Linked DNA regions of Rattus norvegicus. The main gene of each other region encodes a partner of the protein of the gene in region 3 in a complex. Links are inferred from orthologs where the notes say so. Each region holds a gene or a part of one and is shown on either strand. Other genes may lie near its edges.

What was found.
Region 1: the proteins of Ap1g1 (region 3) and Ap1m1 are in contact, whole or in part, in a cryo-EM structure (PDB 7R4H), measured with the Mus musculus proteins. The link is inferred for Rattus norvegicus from reciprocal best matches to the Homo sapiens genes AP1G1 and AP1M1. Residues at the interface, in NP_001288140.1 of Mus musculus: Arg24, Glu25, Gln28, Lys29, Ala32, Arg35, Ser36, Arg39, Glu40, His64, Phe65, Gln67, Leu68, Gln97, Val99; in NP_031482.1 of Mus musculus: Ser289, Asn318, Asp319, Ala320, Asp321, Ser322, Trp334, Pro336, Glu337, Asn338, Ser339, Gly361, Leu362, Pro363, Ser364, Val365, Glu366, Ala367, Glu368.
Region 2: the proteins of Ap1g1 (region 3) and Ap1s1 are in contact, whole or in part, in a crystal structure (PDB 1W63), measured with the Mus musculus proteins. The link is inferred for Rattus norvegicus from reciprocal best matches to the Homo sapiens genes AP1G1 and AP1S1. Residues at the interface, in NP_001288140.1 of Mus musculus: Leu7, Arg8, Ile11, Arg12, Arg15, Leu54, Tyr55, His57, Met58, Gly60, Tyr61, Lys78, Phe79, Thr80, Arg83, Ile84, Leu87, Met90, Leu91, Asp94, Glu95, Thr115, Phe117, Leu123, Cys124, Gly127, Cys128, Tyr152, Lys155, Lys156; in NP_031483.1 of Mus musculus: Met1, Leu14, Arg15, Leu16, Gln17, Lys18, Trp19, Leu21, Ala22, Thr23, Asp25, Arg28, Lys29, Arg42, Lys45, Met46, Cys47, Ser48, Phe49, Glu51, Lys56, Gln74, Asp75, Asn76, Glu77, Leu78, Ile79, Leu81, Glu82, Leu83.

What each region holds. Positions count from the first base shown.
Region 1 is NC_086034.1:17,626,345-17,629,989, reverse strand, and holds part of Ap1m1 (AP-1 complex subunit mu-1), read left to right. Parts: intron 1-949; coding exon 950-1,017; intron 1,018-1,952; coding exon 1,953-2,083; intron 2,084-2,804; coding exon 2,805-2,952; intron 2,953-3,645. UniProt on the Homo sapiens protein: Subunit of clathrin-associated adaptor protein complex 1 that plays a role in protein sorting in the trans-Golgi network (TGN) and endosomes.
Region 2 is NC_086030.1:25,260,567-25,264,872, forward strand, and holds the start of Ap1s1 (adaptor-related protein complex 1, sigma 1 subunit), read left to right. Parts: upstream 1-1,469; 5' UTR 1,470-1,545; coding exon 1,546-1,548; intron 1,549-4,306. UniProt on the Homo sapiens protein: Subunit of clathrin-associated adaptor protein complex 1 that plays a role in protein sorting in the late-Golgi/trans-Golgi network (TGN) and/or endosomes.
Region 3 is NC_086037.1:54,734,063-54,737,700, forward strand, and holds part of Ap1g1 (AP-1 complex subunit gamma-1), read left to right. Parts: intron 1-1,134; exon of another isoform or gene 1,135-1,220; coding exon 1,221-1,319; exon of another isoform or gene 1,320-2,397; intron 2,398-2,459; coding exon 2,460-2,561; 3' UTR 2,562-3,638. UniProt on the Homo sapiens protein: Subunit of clathrin-associated adaptor protein complex 1 that plays a role in protein sorting in the late-Golgi/trans-Golgi network (TGN) and/or endosomes.

The DNA.
Region 1 (3,645 bases), on a different chromosome or scaffold from region 3:
TGTGGGTGCTGGGGATTGAACTTGGGTCTTCTGGAAGAGCAACCTATGCTCTTTACCACTGAGCCATCTCTGTAGCCCTCCACTTTTCCTTTCAATTATTCAAGCCTCAGCTGGGCTGTAAGGTAGGTAGAAGTGCCATTACACCTGGTCGTCTTCATGTTAGTGAAGTGACTGCTATCACTATTATCTCCATGGATGTCCACACATAACGCCTAGCTGGCTGAGACCTTGGTGGTGGCTTCCCCTGCTGCTCACTTGCATGAAATGCTTGTAGCTGTGCTGTGTTTGCACTGGTGAGAGAGAGTTTCTCATGTCTTTCTGATGTCGTACTAAATCTACAGATTGATTTTATGTATGTGTCCATTTGTTCAGGCCATAATTAGTGTTAGGAGAACACGCAAAACTGCAGACTGCGTCACAGCAGAGCCAGCAGCCTTAACAATTTTCTAACCTGTGTTGGCTTCCCTATGACCAGACTTTATATGGACCCAGTGGGCAGCTTCCAAGGATACCTGAAAGGAAATGGCCCATCCTTGGGTCTACTGTGGGCTCCCTATTTGGAGTGAATAGACATGTATAGCATTCTCCTCAGAAGGGCTTTGTCGGCTTCCTTCGATAGCTCAGTTGGTAGAGCAGAGGACTGTAGGGGCTTTGTCACCAACAGAAAGAAGAGAGGCCTGGCCCTGGCTGCTTCTCCACCTAGCTGGGCTCTCCTAGTCTTGCTCCTAAATGCAGCATCCAGAAGCTACCCCTTAAACCTTACACTTTCTGTCACCAAGGCTCCTCTGAATGCTTACCACATGTCCCTGGCCTGGCTCAGACTTGGGGCTTAGTCCTAATTTTGGGCTCAGTGGACCACTGGATTGTGGCTGGGGCAGGGAGCCGTGGGGATGGGCACCTGTGGTGTGGTATCCTGGCCTCAGAAGGCTCCTTGACTGCTACCCACCAGTGGTCGCCACTTCAAAAAAGAATGCTTGTGTGTCGCTAGTATTCTCCTTCCTCTACAAGGTGGTGCAGGTAAGGCCCCAGTGGTTTGACTTCCCAGCTGGGGAGGACTTTGGGGATTGTAGCTTTGTATACCCAGGGGTCCTGGTCCAGGAAGTCTCAGTTTCCTTGCAGGTGAGAGTCATGCCCACCCTGGAGGTAAAGAAAGCTAGCAAGATGGGAACCTGGCTGTGCAACCCTCCTGGCAGGAGGTGCATCATGTGATCCAGGCCCTGTGCCTGCGCAGTAGGGCCTGGGATCAGTTAGGTGCACAGGGCTGGACCTTGGGGCCATGGAGTGTGGTTTGATACTAATTAGTGCCTAGCTTTACCCAGGACACCTTTGGACTTAAGTAACCTCTGGCTGCTGAGTCAACCTGTTTGGTGCTAGTATTAAGCAAGGGCTCCAGGGCTAGTCTGTATTTCCACTAAGTGCCTCTGGAGGTCAGGAACCCCTTTCCTGTCTTTCCCCCTCCCTCTTGGGTGGGCGCCTCTTAGACAAGGGTAGAAGATGGAGAGCCTCCATTATCTTTTGGGGAGAGCCTCCAGGTGGTTTCCTTCTGAGCAGGTCCACTCTGAACAGCCTGGCTTAGCCACCTCTGATTGGTGGAATATGACTGGGGTGCTGGAGCACATTTCCCAGAGCCGGCCTTTCCCACTTGTAAGGACCTGTGCGCTTCTGTGCTAGTGTAAAGACCAGGTCCCTTCATTAGCCCCCTAGCTACCTATTGAAATGGAGGTGCTTGTCTACAGCCAGACAGCAACACCCTATGTGGATAGGCAGCAGTCTTGAGGCCGAGGCAGGGATCACAGGCACAGCTGGGATTGATACAGAGGCCTGGACAGCCAAAGTGCTGGTACAGGGCCCCGCCTGGCCAATGCCTGTGGTCTGTAGTTCAGATTTTGGTTTCTGGCCTGTGCAATCACTCTGGGTCTGGGCTGAGTCCTGCTCCGCTGCCCCTGGCCCAGGTGTTCTCTGAGTACTTTAAGGAGCTGGAGGAGGAGAGCATCCGAGACAACTTTGTTATCATTTATGAGCTTCTGGATGAGCTCATGGACTTCGGCTACCCGCAGACCACCGACAGCAAGATCCTGCAGGAGTGAGTACACGTGTCCCCTGCCTACCCCCACTCCCAGCGGCTTAGTTGCCAGCCCAACAGAGCAATCAGCTTGCTCCTTCTGCACCAACTGTTTTTTAGTTATTTTGAGATAGGGTCCTGATCCTCCTATGTCTGCCTCTGGAGCGCTGGGCTGACAGGAATGGGCCATGTGTCCTGTGTACTGGGTTCTGGACATGGAGTTCCTAATTTTGTGTGTGGTGCAGGGATTCAGCCCTGCAGATGCTTTCTGCTGAGTGCCTCTTGGGTCAGGACCCTTTCCTATACATATACCCCATGTCTCCACCCACACAAATATGGTACCTTAATCGGAGCCCTGCCTTTGCTGACTGTACTGAACTGAGGCAGGCTTTTGGAATCCCCACCTGCAGAGGCAGAAACCAGCAGGCCCCATTCTGCACTTCCACCGCTCCGTGCGGCCTGGGGTGCCAGCTCGCCACTTACCTGGGAGTCTGGGGAGAGCTGCTGCTCTGCTGTCCTGGTGGCAGAGGGCTCAGTCCCTCCAGGAGCCCACAGTGCTGACCACTTAATCCTATTCCCCACCGCACACCAGTGCCTTGCCTCAGAAATGAAGTGTATTTGGCCCACTCACTATAGCATGCATACCGTACCCTCCCCGACCAGTTGATGTGGGGCTTCAAGCTCTGTCCTGATCTCGGTGGAACGTTGTGTGTCACTACTGTAACTAAGCGACTCCCCACAGGTACATCACTCAGGAAGGCCACAAGCTGGAAACAGGAGCCCCTCGGCCCCCAGCCACCGTCACCAATGCTGTGTCCTGGCGCTCAGAAGGTATCAAGTATCGGAAGAACGAAGTATTCCTGGACGTCATTGAGGCCGTTAACCTCTTGGTAGGCTGCCTTTCTCTTCCTTTCCCAACCTGCCATCTTTTCCAGGGCGGAAGTCAGGGATAAGACTGAAACCCAGCAGAGTGTGTAGCCTGAGCCCTGGCAGCAGATGGCAGGACTCAGTGTCAGAGACTGCTCTCTGTACCAGCCTCCCTTTCAGAATCTGTAGGTACAGCATTGTGGTGTCTCTCAGGAGACTGAGGTAGGGAAACCTTAAGTTCCAGACCCTCCAGGGTCACATTGTCTCAGAAAAAACAAAAGAGAAGGGGCAGCAAGAGAGATGGCCCAGCAGTTAAAAAAGGGATTCCCACAAGCCTGACCTTCTGGGTTTCAGTCTAGTGGAAGAGAACTGACTCCTGCATTCTGCCCTGTGAGAGTTCACATGTGTGTATACACGAAGACACACACACACACACACACACACACACACACACACACACACACACAGTAAAATATAACTACAGTTTAATTTAAAGAATACAGGGCTCAGGGGATTGCTTAGTGAGCCAAGTTGCTACACCTCAAGCCTCATGACCTGTGCTCCATCCCCAGAGCCCTCATCACCACAGACTTGTCCTCTAATCTCCACACAGAGGCAGCGACACCCGATACACATACACCCCGACTTACAGACATAAGCAGAGCACTCATGCACAAGCTGGAGGACCCAAGTTGTGTGGAAGCTGGGGGAGGGGG
Region 2 (4,306 bases), on a different chromosome or scaffold from region 3:
TTTTTTTTTTTTTTTTTTGGACATAGTGTCTCAGTCCAGACTATGAACTACCTACATAGTCGATGGTAATTTTGAACTCTTTTTTTTTTTTTTTTTTGTTCTTTTTTTTCGGAGCTGGGGACCGAACCCAGGGCCTTGCGCTTCCTAGGTAAGCGCTCTACCACTGAGCTAAATCCCCAGCCCCAATTTTGAACTCTTGATCCTAATATGTCTGCCTCTACCTTCCAAATCCCCACATTATAGGTGTATACCGGCGCATTCCTGTTCTGTAGCCCTAAAGCTGGTCACCACCTCTTGCTCCTCCTGCCTCAGCCTCTGCAGAGCTGGGATTAGAGGTATGCCTCACCACACCCAGTTCTCAAAACCCACCCTCCATTTTGGTTTTGGCTTCTTGTTTGCTTGACAGAGCCTCACTGTGTAGTCTAGGCTGGCTGTGGCCTTCTGGCTATGGGTTTACACCACACCCCTTCAATACCTTAAGATTCTCCTCATTCCGTCCCCTTTCTCCTTAATTTACAATTTCCTCCTGCTCTTTATAGTGTCCCCCTTTTCAGCAATTTTTTTTTATCCCTGGTTTCTACATATTTTGTTTGCTTTAAGACAATGCAGCATCTCCAAGTTCTTAATGAATACTTAAGTGTTGTACTGTCTTAGTTTCTTTAAGGTTACATTTAGAAGTATATTTTGCATTGTCTGTGACCATGTGGGGATGTATGCAGGACCAGGGCACTTGCTTGTGCAGATATCAGAGGACAATTTGCAGGAGTCAGTTCATTCTTTCCACCTAGTGGGTTGGGGGGAAACATCTTTACTATCCGAGCCATCATATCTGCACTGTTTGGTGTCACTTTTTTTGTTGCAGACAGGTTCTCTTGTGGCCGTGGGCGGTCTCGACCATGCTATGTAGTTGAGGCTGAACTTGAACTGCTGTTGCTCCTGTCTCTGCCTTCCAAGTGTAGACATCACGTATGTGCTCCTGCCGTGTTTGTTTTGGAGACAGGATCTTGCTCTGGAACTCTGAGCTGTTCTTGAACTCTTTATTCTCCTGGCCTCCCGTCCTGTATTTCCCTCATCCTGCCCACCACCACCCTTTCTTTGACTGATGTTTCCCACACCATTCCTCCCAACTTCTTCGTAAACTCTAAAGATCCTTCATCCACCTCTCACCCTTTTCCCGCCTTTTTCCCCCCCACAAATGCTCCAAAGCTCGAGGCCCTCATTGTCCTCCACTCCCCTTCCCATCCTCCAATCAACCCACCAAGGCAGCCTTGTTACCATGACGACCGGGCTTTTGCAAAGCTGAAGTCAAGGACCTGGTTACCATGGTTTCCGCTTCTCCGCCTCCAGCCCCGCCCGCGCGCCGTATGAGATTGGGGGGGGTGTGCTGCAGCGTTGGCGCCTGCGCAGTGAGACCACGCCTGGAGCCGGCGCGGTCTAGGGGCGGGGCTTCAGGCGGAGAGGGAGGGAAAAGAAAAGAATCCGACTGGGAGTGGAGCTGGCTTCTACGGTGGCCGGAGAGGGACGCACCGGGCCGGAGGCTGCAGGATGGTAGGCTTTGAGGAGAGGGAGGGGACGGGGACCCGAGGGGCGTGGGCTGTACCTGCGAGGGTCCGGAGGGGGGCTGCCCTTTGTGGGAGTCGCCCTGTCTTCTCTGTGGTCCGCTAAGGATCCACTTCCCAGAGCTGCTAGGGAGAGCTGACCTCGGAAGCTGGAAATGGCACTAGGACAGGGGCGGGGAGGAGTCTTGGTTGGGAGAGAGGGGACTAGGGCTGAATGGTGGCGGGACTGTCCGGAGCCTGGAGAAGCGCTCGGGATTCTGGGTTCGGTCCTAGAGATCCTCCCAATCACCGCCGCAGGGAAGACACGAGGTTGGGGCTCCGGGGTCACTCGGGATGGTTGCAGGTTGCCGAATCCCCTTCCCATGAGGCCCACACTGGAGCAGGGCCCATGGAGAGCTCAGTGTGGGAGGGGACAGTTTCCGGGTCTCTGGAGTGAACCTCCTGTCTCGGTTCCTTGACAGAACTCGCTCGGAGTTCTAGCTCAAGTGGGCTCCAGGGTTTGCAGTCAGGGAAGACTCCCTGACTTTGGCAATCCCAGCTCTCCACCCTCTCCGGTGCATTTTCTTTTCCGGAACCCAGGCCTTCCGTCTTCCTGCTGTAGTTGTCACCTCCTTTTCTTAGCTGCACACGGCTCCCTCAGTTCTTCACCTTCCTTATCCCCCACCAACAACACTCCCTAGTTTCTGGGGTTTGTTTCTTTTAACTTAACCTGCTAAACTGGAAGTGTGGCACACACACAGATATCCCAACCCCGGCCATGTTCTCAGAGCTGTTTGCAGGGAATTGAGTTCAGGATATGGAATCCGGAACCTCTGCAACTGGGAAAAACAAAGAAAACAAAAACAACAACAACAAAAAAAAAACAAAAAACAAAAACTAGGTCCATGCGCGAAGCAATGAGGACTCTGCCTGCTATTTATTCCACAGACATTCCCTAGGAGAGCCCTCCTGGGTGACTGGGCCCTGTCTGAGGGACTGAGCAACCAGTCACCTGATGTCTGGGAAGAAAGGTCAGGCCTTATAGTGCACACCTGTAACCTGGCACTCAGGAGCTAGAACCAGGGGGATCAGAAAACCAAGGGTAGCCTTGGCTATCTGGTAATTGAGGTCAGCCTGTGCTACGTGAAACATTGTCTCCAAACAGAAACAGAGAAAAGAGGGCCAGAGAGATGGCTAGGTAGCTGATAACCTGAGGTCATTCTCAGGAACCCACTGGTGGGAGAAGTGAACTGACCTCCACATGTGGGTGGTGGAACCTGGGTGCCCCACATATATATGTAAAATAATATAAAATAACACTTTAAAAAACTGGGAAGAAAGAAAGCCAGTACTTGGAGCTAAATGTGTGGACAGCAAAGGAAAATGGAGGGCAAGATCTGAATATCCCTGTGCCTCGTGCAATCCAATGTATGTACAATTTACAGAGAAGAATGTCAACAAGCATGGGACTGGCACAAGAGGCCATATTGAGTCAGGAACATCTGAAGGCTTATTGCAGGATGGAGTAGCCACCCAACATCTGTGAGACATGGGGTCTAGAAGAACATACATAGAACTGCTGTCTGTTGACATCAGCTCATCAGGAGGCCAGGCATTTTCCCCATGGAAAACAAGGTTAGGAAACAGAAGTTCAGGGGAAAATAGCAGCGCCTAGCATGTTGCAGGTCCTACTGTGTGCCAGGCACCCTCATAAATGAACTCATTTAAGAATTCCTTAAGGGAAGAAGGGTGGAGAGAGAGATGGTTCAGCAATTAAGCACACTTACTGCTCTTCCAGAAGACCAAGGTTCAGTTTCCAGCACCCATGTCAGACAGCTCACAATTTTCTGTAACTCTGGACCCAGCAGATCTGACACCTCTGGTCTCTGTGGGCACTTGCACTCATGTGCACTAACCCGCTATGTAGACACATGCACACTCACACAGAGTTAGAAATAATAAAAAATGGGCTGGAGAGATGGCTCAGTCCTTAAGAGTATGTGTTGCTCTCACAAAGGACCCTCCCATCACCCACCATGGCGGCTCATAACCGTCTATAACTCCGTTTCTGGGGGATTCGACAGGTACGCGTGTGGTGCACATACACATGTGCACATAAATATCATACACATACCACAAATCTTTAATAACAATAAGTCCTAGAAGACCTCTATAAAAAAGTGTCATTTCCATCTTGTGGATAAGCAAACCGAGGTTCAAAGGCTGCTTGATACTACTGAAGGGCAGTCAGACAGCTCAGTGGGTAAAGGCACCTTCTGCCAAGCCTGAGTGTCAGAGTTTGATCCCTGGAGCTCACACAGTAGACACAGACAACCAGCTCCCCAAAGCCGTCCTCTTACCTATACACACACACAAGTAAGTGTGATAAAAATGCTTTTACGTTTATTTTATCATGTGTGTGGGTTTGTGCTCGCACAGCATGAATGTGGAGAGAAGACAGCTTGTGGGAGTTGGTTCTCTCCTGTAATGTGGGTCACAGGTATTGAGCTCAGGCCACCGGGCTTGGAACCAAGCACCTTAACTGATTTAGCCATCTTGCTGGCCCAGTGTAAAGTAGTTTGCCTGAGGCTGTACTCAAGCTAGTAGAGCCAGTATTTGAACCCAAATCACAGGCATAAAAATCTTTGACTTCCCCCCCAGGTACGACACTCCTTGTAGGGATAGCACCCAGTATTGACAGCTAGGACAGGAGTTTTGAAGGAGTTATCGATGTACAGCCTGGAGTCTGGGGCTGTGTTTGTGTAAGA
Region 3 (3,638 bases):
TGTTTTGGGTGTTATCCTGGGCACTACATTTTGTTAGTGTATCTTGAGCTTCAAAATGCTACATTTCATAGATTTACCACATAGCTTTCATTTTTTTAGTGTCTCTGAAATTGATGTGCAGTTTGAGCTCAATACCATAAAGCTGAGGATTTAGCTCAGTGATAAAGGCCTAAGTTTGATCATCTCCTTCCCCATAGAAAAATAAACTTGATGTCTAATCATAGTTTAATGGGAAACTTTTTCTTTTTCAGTGCTATATAAAATAAATATTTGCATCATAGTTGATAGTATCTTAAATGTAATGAAATATATTAGTAATGACATTTTACCTTACATAATTCATTTTGAGAATAGAATTATGAATGAGACCCCAAGATAATAAGCTTGTGCTTTCAGTTTGACTCTTCCTTTTCTAATATATGAGCTTATAAAGGGCTCCTCTGTCAGTCAGGAAAGGCTTTGTACAGTGTGGTTTACCTGGCTTGCCTAAAGCACTTTATTGTTTCACCTCTGTAAACAGGTAAAAGCCTATCCACACTGAACAAACTAAGACATTTGACTTGTCTTGACCTTTTGTTGTTTGGGCTGGTTCTGCATGTACTTTTTCTTTAGGGCCTTGTGTCTCTGGTGGAACCATCCTGAATGTTCCACTTACATATTTACAGCTGGCTTTTCAAGCCATTCCTTCCCTTTTCTTGTAGGGGCAGACCTTGACAGACCTTGGCATACTGCACGTTAATTGTTCAGGCTTTAGGAAAGAAAGGTCTAATCCCGAGGCCTAGTCTTGAGGTTCCATAGTCACATAAAGGTCTGTAGTCCGTGGCTAGTGTGTTGGTTTATGAGGTTTGGAAAGCTTTTCTGTCAGGTTCTTTTTGGCTTTGTTTCAGGCCATAGGCCTCCAATCTTTACTTGCACAGTTGATCAGTCACTACTAATCAGGGTTTCTAGAACAAGGAGTGTTGCCTTTTGAGAAGTGATAGTCTAGAGCTCCTTTAGCTAGAGACAGGAAAGTAGCTCCACTATGTTTCCACAACCAGAGACTTGAGTTGAATGAGTGACTTTCTGCTTACATATCATGGATGGAGTCTGGAAAATAAGCACTGTCAAAGCATAGGGAACCTGTCTCTGACCCACCTGCTGGCCGGCTAACTGCTTACTTGCTGGCTTCTTTGACCCAACACTGCTATTTGTTCTCATGCGTGTCCTTTGTTCCTCTGTAGACATTCCAGCTGCAGCTTCTGTCTCCTAGCAGCAGCGTCGTCCCAGCCTTTAATACAGGGACCATCACACAAGTCATTAAAGTTCTGAACCCACAGAAGGTAAGTAGTACATTTAAACAGATCTGTATAAGGTTCAAGTAAGCTCAGTTTTCTTTCTGACTCAGATCTAGGAAAATGCCTGGTCTAACTTCCTTGTTCTTTTGTAGAGATAAACCAAGCCCAGGGACATCAAAAAGATTAGTGACATTAAAATGCAACTAAAAATTCTCTATTGTGAGGATTAAAGGTATTGTTTTGAGGATTTAGCAAAAGTTTAAATCAGAGGTTGAATCAAAAATCTATATTTACTGTTACAATTAGTATGGTTATTAAAACTGGAAGCATTTTAAGTGAAATAGTTAAATGAAAAATAGCAGTAGAAACCAGTTTAGCCAGAGTTTCACTATAGAAGAAACTATAGAAGTTTCATCTTCTCAATGAAATCAACTGTTTTTCCCTTATAACTATCTGATTTTCAGTTTTTGCTTTTCAAGTTCTCTGCCTTTTCTCAGTTCTTTTTTTTTTGTATCTCAATCATGTTATTACTATAAACACAGCACACATTATTTTCATCATCTGATACCTGCAACAAAACTTTTTTTAATGTACTGATATTTGATATTTGCTACAGAAAGTACAATACACTTAAAACCATTCCTGTTACCTGTGTACCCAGGTTTTTCTTTTATGCTTTGGAAAAACAAACATTGGTGATGTTTACTGTGGGCTGCATAAACCAACCAACAGGTGACCCATATGTATAACATGTGACATGTGTCTCCCTCATTTTCTAGAGACTTGGACAAAGAGTTAAATTTTTGTCGTTCCCCCCCTCCCCAATTGTATTCTAGGTGTGCGTGTTCTCTGCTTGATGGCCTTGATGTTGATTCGTAGGCTTCAGTCAGCAGCGATAGATGTTTTGGCACAGGCTGTCTGTCTGTCTGTGTGCCACTTGAGATAGCGTTACCTGGGTGTACTTTACCTACCTTTAGGATAAATACATCTGTGGAGTGGCATGGCAGCACGTGCCTGGGGTCCTCAGTACTTGGGAGGCTGAATCAGCATCACTTGAGCTGAAGGGTTTGGGGCTAGCCTGGTCCACGTCGTGGAACCCTATTTCCAAGAAACAGTCTATAGACTGCCGAGACAGGGAGATTTAATTTCAGTGAATTAATTCATGGTTCTCTTTCCCTTCTATAGCAACAGCTGCGAATGCGGATCAAGCTCACATACAATCACAAGGGCTCAGCAATGCAGGATCTCGCAGAAGTGAACAATTTCCCCCCTCAGTCCTGGCAGTGAGGGTGCAGCACCATTCTCATTCTATCCCACTCAATCAAAGGAATTCTGGGAAGGAGGTTGTGATTGCTGGCAAGTCCCCCACTGTAACCATGGGCACGAGGAGCTGAGAGAGCTGTTGAGGGTTCTCCTCACCTTACTGCTGACCTTGAAGCATCAGTAAAGACTAATGTCCTCTCCTCCGCTGTTGAGGCTGGCTGCTTCTCAAGGCTACTTTGCACTCCTCCTCTTCTCCCTTTTCTGCACTTCACCCCTCCCACATTTGCAGCCAGAATCAACATTTTCTGGGCCACTGAGGCAATCAGCAGCGGTCTGGAGGAGAGGACTGGAATTCACGGCAAGAAAACACTCACTCTGTCTCTGCAGCAAAGAGTGGCCCCTACTTTCTACTGTGGTGTCTCTGTGGACTGGGCAAGGTGGTTACCATCGTAAGGCGCTTTTATACCAGGCAGGCATTGGAATGGATTGTAACAATGGACATAAGGGAGCCCTGCCCTTTTCTGCTGGTTCTCCCAATGTTTGAAAGGTGTTAGGCTCCTGGCAGCCTTTTCTGTGCATTGCTGTATACACACAGACACACATGTATGTATGTTTGTTATATAAAAAAATCTGGTCAGACCTTGAGAGGTGGTTTGTAAACACTGGACAGATGCAGTTCAAGAGCTTTTGTTGAGATTTGGCATGAAGGATATGGTGCTCTATTTCTAATAGAAACTTCCAAGGCTCCCAGCTCCCCTTTCTCTCCATTCTTAGCTGTAGTCATGAGTTCTCTCTCCATGATTTTCAAGATCAGTTCCCATTAAATTGCAAAGTGGACACTTTCTAAAAAACATATGAATAGTTATTAATGATCCTATTCCCCCCACAGTGTTTCTCCCAAGCCTGTCACTTGCCTGTTTGAGCTGTGGTAAATGGGTCAAAAGAGGAGTTCAGTCCTAAGGAGCAGACCCTGTCACAAACACCATGGCCCATAGGAAGAGCAGTACCAGACTCAATCTGGAGCATACTGGAATCAGCTTTATCCATTGCTCCAATCCTCCCTTTAATTTCCTAAGCCTGGCTTGGACCTTGGCATTCCGT